Macaca fascicularis: one gene and its partner. The protein of the gene in region 1 binds, or shares a complex with, the protein of each later gene. Links are inferred from orthologs where the notes say so. Each region holds a gene or a part of one and is shown in the gene's direction. Other genes may lie near its edges.

Evidence for each region.
Region 2: the proteins of CAST (region 1) and CAPNS1 are in contact, whole or in part, in a crystal structure (PDB 3BOW), measured with the Rattus norvegicus proteins. The link is inferred for Macaca fascicularis from reciprocal best matches to the Homo sapiens genes CAST and CAPNS1. Residues at the interface, in NP_445747.2 of Rattus norvegicus: Pro652, Ile653, Asp654, Ala655, Leu656, Ser657, Asp659, Leu660, Asp661; in NP_058814.1 of Rattus norvegicus: Phe103, Leu106, Gln109, Leu110, Ile125, Lys128, Val129, Arg132, His133, Leu136, Phe166, Trp170, Lys174, Gln177, Lys181.

What each region holds. Positions count from the first base shown.
Region 1 is NC_088380.1:100,638,633-100,643,144, forward strand, and holds the start of CAST (calpastatin), read left to right. Parts: upstream 1-1,666; 5' UTR 1,667-1,777; intron 1,778-1,895; exon of another isoform or gene 1,896-1,959; 5' UTR 1,960-2,030; coding exon 2,031-2,105; intron 2,106-2,612; exon of another isoform or gene 2,613-2,724; coding exon of another isoform or gene 2,725-2,754; intron 2,755-4,512.
Region 2 is NC_088393.1:43,389,974-43,393,784, forward strand, and holds part of CAPNS1 (calpain small subunit 1), read left to right. Parts: coding exon 1-43; intron 44-140; coding exon 141-205; intron 206-2,514; coding exon 2,515-2,583; intron 2,584-2,684; coding exon 2,685-2,763; intron 2,764-2,904; coding exon 2,905-3,021; intron 3,022-3,811. UniProt on the Homo sapiens protein: Regulatory subunit of the calcium-regulated non-lysosomal thiol-protease which catalyzes limited proteolysis of substrates involved in cytoskeletal remodeling and signal transduction. Essential for embryonic development.

The sequences.
Region 1 (4,512 bases):
CATACAATACTCTCAAGAAATATATAACCGGGTTAAACTCAATTTTTAAATACTGTTGGAAAATAACCTCAAACTTTAATGCCACCAAGTCAGTGGAAACTATTCCAGAGTTTGAATAAAGTACTCCAGGGATCTAAAACCTTGAATCTGGGACATGTAGGCTCCCCAGTAAGAAAATCATTCTTGTTCCTGGGGTGGAGGCCAGGAAGGAGGAGCTGCCTGTCACCTCACCCCTACAGCTTTTGTGTTTTTTAAAATTACTGTAGTGGTGTGGTCACAATCATAAGAAGATCTTGTTTTCAGACTTATGGCATACTTTCCCTCCTTTCTGAATGTAACCGATGCCAACAAACATTTGTTTTTCCTGAGTGAACATAGTCCCAATATCTAAGTTGCTTCATTTTTATGTATAAATTCCTGCAGTGCTACCTGTTTGTTGAAATGCTAGATACACAGGCAGTAAGTAGAATCCTTTAAGAGGAAATGCATTTAAATCCTCTTCTCCCCCCATCCCCTCCCTCAAAATTAAGAATGCTGCTATCCTATCCTTTAAGGAAGAAGTCAGAATTTCTAAAATGAGGAGGTAGAAAGGAAACCAGAATTCTGTTCTGTCAGGCTCCACACAGCATGACAAATCTCTCCTTAAAATCTGCCTTCTGGCCGGGTGCAGTGACTCACGCCTGTAATTCCAGCACTTTGGGAGGCCACAGTGGGTGGATAACTTGAGGTCAGGTGTTCGAGACCACTCTGACCAACATGGTGAAACCTCGTCTCTACAAAATAAATAAATAAATAAATAAATAAATAATAAAAAATAAAAAATTAGCTGAGTGTGGCGACGCGCCTGTAGTCCCAACTACTTAGGAGACTGAGGCAGGAGAATCACTTGAACCCGGGAGGCAGAGATTGCAGTAAGCAGAGATCGCGCCACTGCACTCCAAACTGGGCGACAGAGCCAGGCTGGGTCTCAAAAAAAAAAAAAAAAAAAAAAAAAAAAAAAATCTGCCTTCTCTCTCTTCAACTGTCTAAATCCCAACACTGCAGACAGCGGTGACCCCAAGTCCCAAAATGACGATGCTATTGCAGGGTAACAAACAGGTTTTCTGTCAGGCCTGATGGTGAACCAGCAGCGACTGCAGGCTGACAGTCTCTCACATAAGCATGTCCTAGTAGGGCTTGTTAAATTTCACTTCTAGCCCCAAACCAGGAAGTGCTGTTTAAGATGAGCCCAAGACAAAAGCAATCTAGCTTCAGAAACAAAACTCGCCAGACTCTAGAAAGACCATAAGAGTTTAATAAGGGTTTAAATTTGGGACTGTTCTCCGCTTGGCATTGGAACCTATGGTCTCCTCCCCATAAAAGTTTATTAAAATTCGAAACTGCCAAAAAACAAAGTAAAATCATATACGACCTATACAGGCGCGTGCACGCACTTACACACACACACACACACGAACACACACACACACACACACACACACACACAGACTAATTTGTTTTTATGATCCGCTTCCTTATCTAGACTGTCCAGGCTTGGGCCAGATTTGAGTTGGTAAACTCTCACAGCTAAAGCAGAGAAGAATGTAGAAAGAGTATCTACTTCTCCGGATTATTGGGAGGAGGGTCGAAGCGTAGACTGGCCACGCCCGGGTCCCGCTCTCTCGTTGCACAACTGCTAGATAGATCTGGGCATCGAAGGAGGAACGATGTAACCTCCAACCCCTTCTTTCTGACCAACCGGAACCCGAGCAGTGCTGGGACCGGGGAGGGTCACCGGGTGAGGACCGGGGCGGTGGGTGTTAAGTTACAGGGCAGGAGCCCGGGTCCCTCCACGGGCAGGAAGGGGAGGGCCCATCGGGGCTAGGGGAACCCCGGCGCAGACCTGGGGTGGGGTCGGAAAAGCTGCCTCACCGCGCGCTCCCGGGCCCTCCGCTTCCTCCCTCCCTCCCTCCCTGGCAGGACTCCCCGCCCGGCCTCCCCGCCACTCTCCGCGGCGCATTCCCGGAGGCAGCGCCCGCAGCGGCCTCGCCATGTCCCAGCCCGGCCAGAAGCCCGCCGCCTCCCCGCGTCCCCGGCGCGCAGCCGCCGCCCGCCGCACCCAGGAGGTGAGTGGCGCTCCTGTCGGCGCCGCGGGGCTGGGCGACGGGGGACCGGGTCCCGGAGCTGTGGCCGCCCTCCCTGGGCGTTGCCAGCCTGGCCGGTCTGCCGCCCCCGGCGCCCCTGCGGGGCAGGGAGAGGGCTCGGGGCTCGGCCGCTGTGCGGCAGGTGGCTGGAGGTGTCTGCGGTTCCCCGGCCGGGTCCAGTGCGCTGGGCGTGGCGTTGGCCGGGTAGAGTGTAGTGGGGGCGCGTGGAGAAAAGTTGGCTGGTGAGACGTGGGTGAACGGGGAATGAGGTTCACTCAGGACCCCCGAGTGAGTGCCTTGGTTTCACTGGACAGCGGGATCTAGTTTTCCGCGCTAAGGCCGGGCCGCAGGGCGTGGCTGCCTGGAGACGCAGAGCCTCTTCCCTAACCAGGCAGGAGCCAAATCGGGCGGGCGGGGAGGGGCGGGGTCTGCGCCGGGCTCCACCCCCAGGGTTCTGCCCACCTGGCAGCCGCGGGATGTGCCGAGTTCAGTGCCAGCCAGGTCCCGGCCAGGCAGAGTGCGAGCCCGGCGCCTCCAACACAGCACCCCGCGCCCTCGCTGGGTCCCCCGCCGTGCGGATCGGAGTTAGCCGGTTGTTGCCATGGCATTCGCCAGCTGGTGGTACAAGACGGTAAATAGGAGCGGTTGTGCCTGGGCAAGACTGGGAAGGGAGTGTGTTGGAAGGGAATGTGTTTGCTTTGCCCTTCTGGGCGTGCGGATGAAGCGTTGTCCGGGGTTTGGCGTGGAAGGGGTGCGGCCCGGGTGCGAACCGGATGCGACCTCCTCACAGACCTTCAGGTTAGGCTCCGGGAGAGGCTGGGGACTCACCCTCTTGTGGTATGTGTGAGCGCGCTCGAGCGTGAGCAGCGCATGCACCTTTCTCGCCCCTGTGTCAAGCACTGTGCTCTGCTGGCGCTCACAAGTGGGATGGAACTGGAATTGTTGCTGGAGGAATTCTGTCTAGAAGGTGGATTCCTGAATGAACTCGGACGCAGCTCGCAAGAGCTTAGATCTAGGGTTCGTTTTTAACCCTTAAGCAAAGGAAAGGTAGATGCAATGTGAGGCAGGGAGAAAATCCCAAACACCAAGGGTTAGAAGCAACTGAGATCTAAGACCAAGACCCTTGGAGAGAGCGGTGGAGGGGTTGGGGAGAGAAAGCGAGAAAGAGAGAGGGAGGGAGGGAGAGAGAGCGCGCACAAATGCGAACTGCTCTGCACTTTATTACTTTGGATGAGGGACAAGAACGTTCCATTTGTTTGGTGCATTGAATGTCTGTCCTACCAATTAGGTGTGATATCCAGTCTAGCTGGCACTTCTAGTGTTTTGGAACCAGGAAGCATGATTTAACATTAGACTGCTTTCCAAAAACAACAAAAACCAAAAAACAAAACCACACACAGTTTTGTTGACAGTGAGAGCCAAAATGTTTATGTCTCATGGATTTATGGTGAGAATTAAAAAATTAGTTAGGTATGTCTTTTTCTTAGCATGTGGTATTGGAAAAAGCAAAGATGTTGGAAACAGACACACTTTAGAGCTAGAAACCCTGTATAAGAATCAAGAAAGAAACTGTTACTTATCAGACAATGGACATTTATTGATCATCTACTATGTGCCAGGCAGAATTATATCCCAAAAGTAGTGGTTTTTTTAGATTATTTTTTACTCTCCCTTTCTATATATATAGTATATATGTATAGTGTGTGTATGTGTGTATATTTATAGGATATATATATATATATATGCACACACACACACACACACTGTACAGGGTCTCTCTCACTATGTTGCCCAGGCTGGTCTAAAACTCCTGGTCTCAAGCAATCCTCCCACCTCAGCCTCCCAAAATGCTGGGATTACAGACATGAGCCACTGCACCAGGCCTACAATTTCTTTTTAAAGCCTCCATGTACACTGTGGAGAACAAAGAGTTTTTCTTAAATGAAAATAAGTCAACCTTTTCCATCTGCTTTCACATCTGTAAAATAGAAATCATATGCACTACATAAGTATTGGTGAGGACTAATTAGATTCAAAAATCAAGATACAATATACATATACTTTTAAGAATTGGGAATTCCAATTTCCCTTGAGATATTTCTTCTTGAGTGTTTTCCAGTACATTTTCTGGACTTTTACATGTAGCATTTTATTGATGTGGTAAGAGCAAACGTTTACTTTGAGTCATTATTGGCCTAAGGTTCTTATCAAAATGCACCATGTACATTATCTGCAAATATGGATAGGGATAGTTCAGAGTTGACATCAGACTTCTCCTTCCAGACTCATGATTCTCTAAAGGAAACTCTGCTGGATTACTTGGATGAAAGTAGTTTAAATCTATGTTTTTAACCCTGTTTTGTTTAGTCATGGTCTGATGTTTTTGCTA
Region 2 (3,811 bases), on another chromosome or scaffold:
GCCACAGAACTCATGAACATTCTCAATAAGGTTGTGACACGACGTAAGTGACCGGGCTCAAGGAATAGGGTAGGTTTAGAGGCAGAGGGGCCTGAGTGGCTTTGGCCTCTGGCCTCTGACTTTCAACCTGTTGCCCACAGACCCTGATCTGAAGACTGATGGTTTTGGCATTGACACGTGTCGCAGCATGGTGGCCGTGATGGATGTATCCTTGGGAGCAGTGTGGGAGAGGCCCTGGGTGCACAGGGAGTTTTTTGAGAGTATGTTTGGAAAGCCAATGTGTAGCCTTCATATCCACAGATGTGGAAATGCATTCATCAGAGCACACTCACCTACAGACATGTGGCAGTAAATCATAACAATGCCAGCTGTTACAGCTGGCACTTTAATTATATAAAGTGACCGAACCTTCACAACCACCCTGTTGGACAGGCACAATTATTATACTCCATTTTACAGATGAGGAAACTGAGGCTCAGTTTCCTGAGAGAAGCAGTCATTTGTCTCAAGTTATAGATAAAGGTCAGGCGTGGTGGCTCATGCCTGTAATCCCAACACTTTGGGAGGCCGAGGTGGGCAGATCACCTGAGGTCAGGAGTTCGAGACCAGCCTGGCCAACAGGGTGAAACCCCATCTCTATTAAAAAATACAAAAATTAGCCGGGCGTGGTGGTGTGCAGCTATAGTCTCAGCTACTTGGGAGGCTGAGGCAGGAGAATAGCTTAAACCCGGGAGGTGGAGGTTGCAGTGAGCAGAGGTTTCGTCACTCCAGTCTGTGGACTCAGGTCTTTTGGGCTTGGGAACCTAAATGTATAACAGCCACATGCACATGTACACACACACACACCTAAGAGCACACCCACATGCGTGAAAGTGTATGAGGCAGTGTGCTCAGGAACACACATATATCTGTATATGGGCCAGCCATCAGCTGACCTTTGATGCATGCATATTTTTATTTATTTTTGTTTTAAAAAATAGTTTATAAGGAGACAAACTTTCACTATATTGACCTGGCAAGTCTCAAACTCCTGACCTCAAGCAATCCTCCCGCCTTGGCCTCCCAAAGTGTTGGGATTACAGGCTTGAGACACTGCGCCTGCCCTTATGCACATTTAACACATAAGGCAGTACAGACACACACATATATACATGTCACGTAATCACAGACATATTGCATAGAGCGAAGCAATCCCAACTGTACCTCTTAACCAGGTTATTGAACCTCTCTGTGCCTCAGTTTCTCTGTCTGTAAAATGGGTGAGTGATAATGGTGATACTGAATTGGAGCTACATGCAAAAGTTTTAGCATTGTGCATAACGCATAGTATGTGGTCTGTACACATTAGCTCTTAACTATGATATTGGGTAGAGTTTTCAGCTTTGAATATGTTTCTTTCTCTGGAAATAGTCCTGGTAGAACTGGTGTCCCGAAGATTTAGTGAGAAAGTGATGTTCCTGAGCTCAACGATCCACCTGCCTTGGCTTCCCAAAGTGCTGGGATTACAGGCATGAGCCACCATGCCTGGCCACACACTTGTTTTTCACATGTCCTAACATTTATGAAATTGAGTTACTGTCCACAATTTTCTTTTCTTTTTTTCTTTTTTTTTTTTTTTTTTTTTTTTTTTTGAGACAGAGTCTTGCTCTGTTTCCCAGGCTGAAGTGCATTGGTACCATCTCAGCTCACTGCAAGCTCCGCCTCCTACGTTTGAGCAATTCTCCTCCCTCAGCCTCCCAAATAGCTGGGATTACAGGTGTGTGCCACTACGCCTGGCCAATTTTTGTATTTTTAGTAGAGACGGGATTTCATCATGTTGGCCAGGCTGGTCTTGAACTCCTGACCTCAAGTGAACCACCTGCTTCAGCCTCCCAAAGTGCTGGGATTACAGGCGGGAGCCACCGCGCCTGGCCTATCAAGAATTTTCTGAATGAGCAATTAACAACTCTTCAGGCAAGGAATGTGTACTTTAGAGTAGTTGAATATAATTCCTCATGGTTATGTTCCTTTTTTGAGACGGAGTTTCGCTCTGTCACCCAGGTTGGAGTGCAGTGGCGTGATCTCAGCTCACTGCAAGCTCTGCCTCCTGAGCTCATGCCATTCTCCTGCCTCAGCCTCCCGAGTAGCTGGGACTACAGGCGCCTGCCACCTCGCCAGGCTAATTTTTTGTATTTTTAGTAGAGACGGGGTTTCACTGTGTTAGCCAGGATGGTCTCAACCTCCTGACCTTGTGATCCACCCACCTTGGCTTCCCAAAGTGCTGGGATTACAGGCATGAGCCACCGCGCCCGGCCTAGTTATGTTTAAAGAGAATCCTTATTTAGAAATATAAGTGACGATATGTATGGATAAAATGAAAAATAAAACTGCACACCAGGTGATACGACTAGGACCAAGCGGGAGCTGGAGTTTCAGCTCTGGCTCCCCTGCTTGCTGTATCACCGTCGTGTCCACAGTGCACGTGATGCGTGCATCTGGGTGTAGCTGTCACTCTTCTTAACACCCTCCCACCAGAGCGACACCACAGGGAAGCTGGGCTTTGAGGAATTCAAGTACTTGTGGAACAACATCAAAAGGTGGCAGGTGTGTAGCAACCTCTGAAATCCCTGGCACCCAGACCCCCAAGCCACGGAGATACCATGCTCTACAATGCTCACTTGGACCCGATCTCTCTGTCCCCACAGGCCATATACAAACAGTTTGACACTGACCGATCAGGGACCATTTGCAGTAGCGAACTCCCAGGGGCCTTTGAGGCGGCAGGTATGGCTGGCAGGGACATGGTGGGGCTGGGAGTGGGATGGGTGAGAAAACCTTTACTCAGCTGGTTTGGGCCTGACTCCTGGGCATGGGAGTGGGTTGGGCCATGTGGCCCCCACACCTGAAGGACTAAATCCATCTCAGGGTTCCACCTGAATGAGCATCTCTATAACATGATCATCCGACGCTACTCAGATGAAAGTGGGAACATGGATTTTGACAACTTCATCAGCTGCTTGGTCAGGCTGGACGCCATGTTCCGTGAGTGATGCCCCAGCTGTCTTCCTGGGTGGGGATTCCTATGACCTCTATGGGCCAAAGTCTCCTCTAAGCCTGACTTTGAGGTGGGCGATGCTAGGGGCACAGGGGTGACTGAATCAGCCCCAGTTTCTGCCCTCATGGAGCGCACAGTCTAGTGGAGGAGAGACGAGTCCCCAGACAGTGACAGTTCAGACTGGTGATGGCTGAGAGGGGAAGCTCAGGGCAGAGTGATGGGTTGTGATGGGGGCAGCACAGGCTGAGGGTCTGGGGCTCTGGTGAGGGAAAGAGTGAGCAGAGTGTGCTCAGATTGTGCTTGGGGAAGCCTAGAGGGCAAATCCAATCCAGGAGGCACCTGATGCAGCCCAAGGGGTCAGGGAGGGCTCACTGGAGAGGGAACATTGGGACCTGAGGGATGAGGAGAGAACTTAGTGAGCAGGTAGGGAATACTGTTGCAGGGGGAGGGAACAGCCTGTGCAAAGGCCTAGAAGGGGAAAGAAGATGGGGCTTCTGGTACTTTTAGCTTGCTTTCTTTTCTTTCTTTTTTCTTTTCTCTTGTCTTTTCTTTCTGCCTTCCTGCCTTCCTCTTCTTTTCTCTTCCTTTCTCTTCCTTTCTCTCCTCTCCTCTCCTCTCCTTTCCTTTCCTTTCTCTCTTCTTTCTTTTTTTTTTCCTTTTTGACAGAGTCTTGCTCTTGTTGCCCAGGCTGGAGTGCAGTGGCACCATCACAGCTCACTGCAGCCTCAACTCCTAGGCTCCAGCAGGCCTCCTGCCTCAGCTTACCGAATACCTGGG